Danio rerio: one gene and its partner. The protein of the gene in region 1 interacts with the protein of each later gene in a pairwise test. Links are inferred from orthologs where the notes say so. Each region holds a gene or a part of one and is shown on either strand. Other genes may lie near its edges.

Region 1 (3,833 bases):
CTTTTGTTCTAGCCGAAATAATACACTAAGACTTTCTCCAGAAGAAAAAATATTATTAGACATCCTGTGGAAATTTCCTTGCTCTGTTAAACATCATTTGGAAAATATTTTAAAAAAAGAAAAAAAAATTCCAAGGGGGGCTAATAATTCTGACTTCAACTGTATATAATTTAATATAACAGTAATTCCTCAGAGTGACTTTTCATCTATTTAAACACTTAGTTTATTTTAAATCTTATTTACTTCCTTATATGTAACATTTCTCAATAGTATTAATTAATGTATTCATTTTTTTTTCATTAGAGGATTGTTTTCTTTTTCCGAGGGGATTTTTTGAGTAGAACATTATGATTGAGTGTACATTGCGATAAACTGTCATTTCATTCTGCATTGCATGCATCAAGACGTATAGTCTAATAGTAAAGTATGAGTGGATATAAACTAAGACAGTCTGTTGTTTCTTATTCTACTATGTATCGTCTTATTAAATAGAATAATTAAAACAGAAAAAAATAAACGATTTTTCCACAGTATCTGTGACATCATACCTGTGTGGCTCCAAATAAAGCTTTAACCTCAACAGGGGATCTCACAAGGTGCTCATCACTTGACTGTTTTTCCATGCTGTGATCAGTCTGGCCTAGCTGTCCGTAATTGGATCTGCCCCACGTAAAGACCCGCCCACTCTCTGTAAATGCACAATATATTTTTTCATCATCATCTCATCAGGGAACAATGCATAAACAAAGGTTTGTGTGAAGCATGACAAAAGACTGTAGAACACACATGACATGTCACTCGTATAGTTTTGAATGGGGAAAAGTGTAACGGTCAATTATTGATCACCATAGACTGATGATTCTCCGGGGAAGTGCCTCGGACCAGACCAATTGTTGCTTAATTTTATTGGTGATTCCTAATATGAAATTTAATCATAAGCTTGGCAAGCAAATTTGAAGGATTTGATGTTTCCCCATTTAAACAAAACACCGAGCATGCTGCCGGAGAGGCCTTTCAAAGTTGACCACCGAGTGAATTGACTTGCCTTAAAGGGACTTTAGCATAACTGACCAGTCTGTGCGATGAGGTGCGTCCAGCCGCTGTGAACATCGCTCACCCTTTCGTCCTGCAGCATTGACCGATCCAAAGCCACAGGAAGAGGCAGGAAGAGGCTCCCGCTGATCAGCTGACCATGTTTATTGCTGCCCCAGAGGAACACATCACCGTTCACTGTGGAAAACACTTCTATGAAACTGACCAATCGGATTAAAGACAGTCATTAAAGAGTTTGTTTGAGATTATCTCTCACCTGTCAAGCAAGCACAGTGGGCGGAGCCTGCAATGACCTTCTGTGTGGTCACATGAGCAAAGCCTGAAGATGAGAAAGCCAGAAAAACATTTTAAATAAATAAGAATTTAAATAATTTTCATAAAGTATTTTTGTGTAGTGTAAAAAGAAAACATAATAAATGAAAGGGGTGTAACGCTTCACAAAAATCACGGTTCGGTTCGATACGACACAGTGGTGTCACCCTTCGGTATGTTTTCGATACAGCAAAAAAATAAAAAAGCCAGAAAATTTCTCTGATTTTAATTTACGGATTTTTAATTTACTTTATTAGTTAACAATAATAACTGTGCTGTTTTCACGGGTGCTGTCTGATATTGCACAGATGACTTATAACTTATTATTTGCATACGTCATCTTAATAGCAGTAACGTTTTTTTCATGAGCTGCAATATTAGTTTCATCTCAGTGAATGCAGTTCTTTAGCGATGGTGAACGCGGTGTCAGTTGCACGATTAACAGCATCGTGACGATTAAATGAAGGATTAAAAAACGTTAGAACATCTCGTGCTTAAAATGTGTAGATTCAATGGCAAACACTGTTACTTGAAAACTCTGTCCCACCGGCTTTACGGACCTACGGGTTTCATAGCAGACTTTAACCACTGGAAGTCTTTTATCCACTCTTCGAAAAGTGTAAATGTTGGATTGACATTCATTTCATGATTAGTAATCAGATGTGCCATTATTTGTAACTTTAGGTGGTTTCCAAAACTAAATCTGCCAGTGTTGTTTGTTTTCATTCTCTCGTATCCAGACCTTTACGTTTTCGTGGCTGTAGTGCCCTGTCATGAAGGCTGAAGGCAGGGCAAGCATTGCAAGCTTTGTTTACTGCAAGTTATCATGTCAACTGTTTTAAACCATTCCTGGGCGCTGCGTTTGGCGTTTTTAGGTGAAAAGATGCTTAATGTGTGAATGCCTCGTAATTCCACGCACATGGTGAACATTTTGCTAAGAAAACTGGTCGCACGACATCAATTTTATGCACTCCAATATATTTTGACGTCGCATAGATAAAATTTCGGCCACATATGCGAGCTAAACGGTAGCAATTTCAAGCCCTGTCTCATATCGACAGCTACAAATGTACCGAAACCAAAGTGTTCCCAAAAATCAGACCTGCTGTTGGTTATAGGAGGATTACATTAACGTTATAGCCATTTTGCAAGCAAGTGCAGCGTTTGCCTGACTGGAGTAGTGTTTGGAGGTGGGTGAGGAAGGCAGCATGTTGCCTGTCACGTCATTTGGGATGCCCTGTTGAGCGGTGTTGCACTGAAAAGATTATATTTTGTACACTTTTACTCTTTTATCTTTTTAGATATCAGTCTGAATTGTTCGGTTTGTAATGCGTACCGAACCGAAAGTCTCGTACCAAACGGTTCAACACAAATACGCGTATCGTTACACCATTAATAAATGCACTTTTAAGTGTCACATTTTATTAATGTGTGTGTGTGTGTGTGCATTTAAATTACAACACATTTGTTTTGCTTAAGATTTGTTTGTTTTTTCATAAATCTTCACTTAAGCAGCTCTTATCTAACACCAAATTGCACCTTTTTTCATCTGTATTATAAAAGCTTTTTATAGAATAAATTTTACATTCTGTGTTTTTTTCCGGCCATTCTCAGTATTTATATATGAATAGCCATAAAGAGTGATGAGAATGTTTTCAAAAAATGAATTTTGAACCCGAGTGTCACAATTGCCAGCGATCTAGTCCATACAGATCTCTGGAGAACTACAATTCTGCCACCAAAAAAACTACAAATCCTTTCATGCACCACACACTCACACCTGTTCCTGTTTCACCTTGATTATACACACACAGCCGAGGGATCGTTATGAACTGATTACTTGGACTTCAAAAGCTAGTTAACGAGTCTAGTTAACTGTTTTGTGACATTACGACACAGTTTCCATTGTCTGGCCAAGTCGTGTTTTGACCTCTTGCCTTGTGTTATCGTTTTGATTCATTGCTGCCGGTACTGACGATTCGCCTGTTCTTTGACAGTGTTGACCGTTGCCTACCTGACCATCCTTAAAATAAACTGCACGTGGACACTTAACTTTGTTGTCAGCGTCCCTCACATTACAATGAGAGATTGTGCTAGAAATGTATCCAAATTAGTATACGAAATAAAATAACGCGTCATCTGCATCTATAAATGTGATAATATTTGAAATTCCTAATGTAATCAATCCAATGGCACCCACTGAAAATTAGATGTTGCATCTCATGGGGTTATCCTTTTAAATAAATTGAAATTGATAAGTATCAGTTTACTATATTTTTTTATATTAGTTTAGTATTGTTTTTTTGATCCCACTTCATTTTATGTGGCCTTAACTAAAATGTGCTTACAGTAAAATTAATAATTTGGTACAATGTACTTATTGTGTATTGCTTGATTAAATACCTGCATGTAAGTAGATCTGCAATTATTTTTTGTAATTACACTATTGACCTTCCCTCACACCTTAA
Region 2 (4,273 bases), on another chromosome or scaffold:
TTGCTATTGGCAGGTCTTATGTGAGTGACATTTCATGTCGCTGTAAACACTCTCGATTTAGATTTCTTAAGGACTTTAAACATTACAAATGTATGCACAGTTAAATCATTCATAATAAACACTGCAATAATATATATATATATTTTTCCGAGATACAGCTTATATTTTTAATATAGAATGTATTTTTTATTTATTAACAAGTGTTGTCAACCTGTTTTTGGCGCATAATTTAATCGACCTACATAAAGTAAGCCTTAGCAACGGATTTGCGGATGTGTACACTCACACTACAACTCAGTGTATCAGGTGTGCGGATGAAGCTAGTGGAGCGCCCTCAGAAAGCGCGAGAAGCAAAACAAACATTTTATTCCCCAATGAGTTTTAAATCTAAAGTATGGCAAGCAACATTATGGATTTAAGGATGGACGACATGACAGGACAGATGCAATTTGCAAAATGTGCCGCGCATCTGTAAAATACGCGGGCAGTACGACTAATCTGATATCTCACTTGAAGCGGCGCCACGGTGTTGTTGTGAAAGCATCTTCTAGTGTCCCTGCATCCCCGGCTTTCGCACTGCTTCAACCAGCTCCAAAAGTGGTGAGAAAAGCATTGCAAGTTTTTTTTTTTCCATGCGCAACAGTTCTGCTCGCTCTACGCCAATAACTAATGCTATTGCATTGTTCATCTGCAAAGATATTCAGCCTAGTGTCACGGAGAACGAAGGTTTTAAACACCTCCTCCTGTTAATTTTTATTTAATAATAATAATAATAATATTAATAATAATAATGATAAAAATAATGGGTGTCACGGTGGCACAGTGGGTAGTTTGACCACCTCACAGCAAGAAGATTGCTGGTTTGTTATATTTTTATTAGCCTGTTGTTTACAGTGACAGTGATGTTTCAACGCAGCATAACACTGCTAGTTCACCACCTTAAGTTTTGAATAATCAGTGGCAAAATATATCTTTGTAAAACTTGTTTTCATAGTTGAAAAGTTAAATCACAATTCTTGTTGTGCAATGCTAAATTTATATATGTTGAAAGAGTGCAAATATATATATATATTTTAATATATATTGCACTTATACATTCTGTTTATCTTGAAAATACTTAAATAATATGTGCTATATGTTCTAAAATGGCCCTCTACTGTAAACTGACACTCTGGCTCTGAGAGAAGAGCCAGTTAGTAAAAAAGTCTTGGTTTTGCTTGGTTAATAAATAATCAAACTCATTCAATGGCACAGCATCCACTTTCACATCATCTCATAAACTTGATCTAATTAGTGCTGAAATATAAGAAAGTCATGGGGAAATTAATGCCTCTCTACATATATCTTTTTAAGTTTAAAGACTTTTATAACTAAATAATAAAAACAGCTAATTTGGATGGTCTTTTCTAAAATATCTACTTAAAATCCTAAAGTTTTCACTTTAGGATTTATTTGTACACTACCTGATAAAAGTCTCGTCACCCATCCAAGTTTTAGGAACACCAATAAAAAACTTGGTATCAATTAAGCAATTTAGTATCAAAAGTGGCTTACATGAAAGGCAAAGGCCTCTAAATTATGTTTATTTTACCAAAACAAAATATGATCATGCCTTGATTTTTAATTATTTCATACAGACAGTAAGGTCTGACTTAGCTGAGACAAAAGTCTTGTCACGTAACAGAAATAATGTACAGTATAGAATAAAAAGTCATGCTACAGTGGAAAAAGAATCAATATTGTGTATGACTGTCATCAACTTGGAAGGCCGCATCCATACATCTCTGCAATGAAAAACTTTTTAATAAAGACATTGGAATGGCAAAGAAAGCATTCTTGCAGGATTCCCAGTTAATCAAAATTCTTTGGATTCATCTTTAATGGTCCTGACATTAGGGTTGGGCGATGTTGACCAATGTGGCATCGTACGATGTCTAATGTGAAACATTGCGATGGACGATGGCATCGTCATCATGTGAAGAGCAAGCAGGTTGGGGGGTTGGTCGGTGATAGACTGAACTTCTGGGAGACTTGGGATGTCTGAATATCACATTTAACAACTATAATGAGACACGATCCAGCGAAGCAACCTTGATAAAGACGTACTGGAGCACCTTGACCTTCTTTGCTTTCAGGAACTTTAATGTGGAGGCTGAAGTGCTATCCTGGGGTAGAATTTGCCCTCTTCTGTGGTTTGTAATGTAAAGGACAGCACAAATATCTTGGTACCTCAAGTTGTTGATGTTGCCATCCACACGGCAGACCTCTCGCACCCAAACCACATTTTAGAACAACTATGCCTCTTCAAGTATTGTTTCTGTGCTACCTTTGCTGTCTAACAAAGCTTTAATAAGACTACCAAATATGTAAAAGTGTAAACAAAACATAACAAAGAGAGCCCTGATGCAAGTGTATAAATAACACATTCCTTATTCATGCATACATTTAAAAAAAACTATATTTATCATCCATATACAAGTCAAGAAAATACACATGTATAAATGAATATTGTCATGTTGACCTTACCTTATCATAAATTACTTTTACTATTAGCGAACAGCTTGGACAGGTGGCCACTTCTTCACCATTCTCAAGATCCTCCTAAAAAGTAAAAAAAAAAAAAGTTTTCTCTTAATAAACAACTGGTATTATTATTATTATTATTATTATTATTATTATTTTACATTAATTGTGACTGTAGTTTAATATTGTCATTCTGACACTCCCTAATTTGTATAATAATATTAGTGGTTTTATTGTAGTCCTTCAGATTTCATTCACAAACAATGACAACCAATCAACATACAAGTCATCAGAAAAACAATACATTAAGTCATACACACATAAGTAATTTGTTAGCCTAGATCGTGATAACGTACAGTTATGGATCAAGTTATGACTGTCTATATTATGCTTACTCAGTAAAACAAACTAACCTTTGTTATCGCGAATCTGTCGCCACAAGGACAAGGGAAATAATATGTTTCTGTTTCTTCATCGTACTCAAAATCTTCTATTTCGACCTCGTCGTGAAAAACCGTCATGTTAGAAGTCTTCGCCGGTGCTGATTCAACGTGCGCCCGCTGTTACATCTAGTGTCGCACAAATTTGACGTGGCATCCAGAGAAAGACGTCAAAAATCTGTTTTAAACTTTGCCACCAGGAGGAGACATTTCTATCGATATGATGCCGCATTCGTCTCTGGTATGTTTTGTACAAGTTATTTTGCTGTTTATGTTCATTTAACTTTACAGATGACTTGACTGAGGGTCTAATTGCCTATAAACCTAAATTTACCAACGCACATTAGCAGCAACTGTATTAACTATTTTGGCCCAATAAATATGTTAATTAATTTCTAGATTACATTTGTTTAATCAGTTACAAGCTACTGCAAGGGTAATTCCTTCTATTAGGTGCTATTTCAGAGTAGAAACTGTCCATAAAAAATGTTACATTTTCCAAAATGTAATAATTTGAGTTGAAGGAGTACTTATTAAACTGTAAGAAAATATTTTTGTCTAGCTCAGGATTTGCATTTTTTACAGAATTCCCTGCTGTAAAAACAGCTTTAACCAGTCTAGACTGGTTAAAACTGGATAAGCTGGCAGTTCATTCCACTGTGGTGACCCCTAATTAATAAAGGGACTAATCCGGCAAGAAAATGAATGAATGAATGAATGGGCCATGTAAGTTTGGCTTATCTTGACCCTCATTTTAAAAATAGCAAGCAGTACTGCATTCTCAGGTAGCAAAGAATTCTGGCCCATACATTCATCCGGCACCGGCATACAGCATGTGGTCCAAACATGGCCCTGGTTTGGCAGAAGTGACACCGTCTTTAGTGGCACACAATACTTGGTCCAGATGTAAAAGTAGTATTTGGCCCAGATGTAATAACTGATATGTGGGCCATGTACAACGCAGTGGCGAAGTAGGTTGTGCTGTCGCCTCACAGCAAGAAGGTCGCTGGTTTGAGCCTCGGCTGGGTCAGTTGGCATTTCTAAGTAGAGTTTGTATGTTCTCCCTGCATTCGCGTGGGTTTCCCCCGGGTGCTCCGGTTTCCCCCACAGTCCAAAGACATGCTGTACAGGTGAATTGGGTAGGCTAAATTGTCCATGGGTGTGATTGAGTGTGTATGGATGTTTTCCAGCGATGGGTTGGAGCTGGAAGGGCATCCGCTGCGTAAAACATGTGCTGGATAAGTTGGTGGTTCATTCTGCTGTGGCAACCCCAGATTAATAAAGGGACTAAGCTGAAAAGAAAATGAATG

Evidence for each region.
Region 2: the proteins of sergef (region 1) and dph3 interact in binary tests that used the Homo sapiens proteins (3 or more experiments, as listed by UniProt). The link is inferred for Danio rerio from reciprocal best matches to the Homo sapiens genes SERGEF and DPH3.

What each region holds. Positions count from the first base shown.
Region 1 is NC_133200.1:8,835,479-8,839,311, forward strand, and holds part of sergef (secretion-regulating guanine nucleotide exchange factor), read right to left. Parts: intron 1,373-3,833; coding exon 1,310-1,372; intron 1,231-1,309; coding exon 1,072-1,230; intron 689-1,071; coding exon 549-688; intron 1-548. UniProt on the Homo sapiens protein: Probable guanine nucleotide exchange factor (GEF), which may be involved in the secretion process.
Region 2 is NC_133181.1:16,098,917-16,103,189, reverse strand, and holds the start of dph3 (diphthamide biosynthesis protein 3), read right to left. Parts: upstream 3,124-4,273; 5' UTR 3,045-3,123; coding exon 2,937-3,044; intron 2,602-2,936; coding exon 2,527-2,601; intron 1-2,526.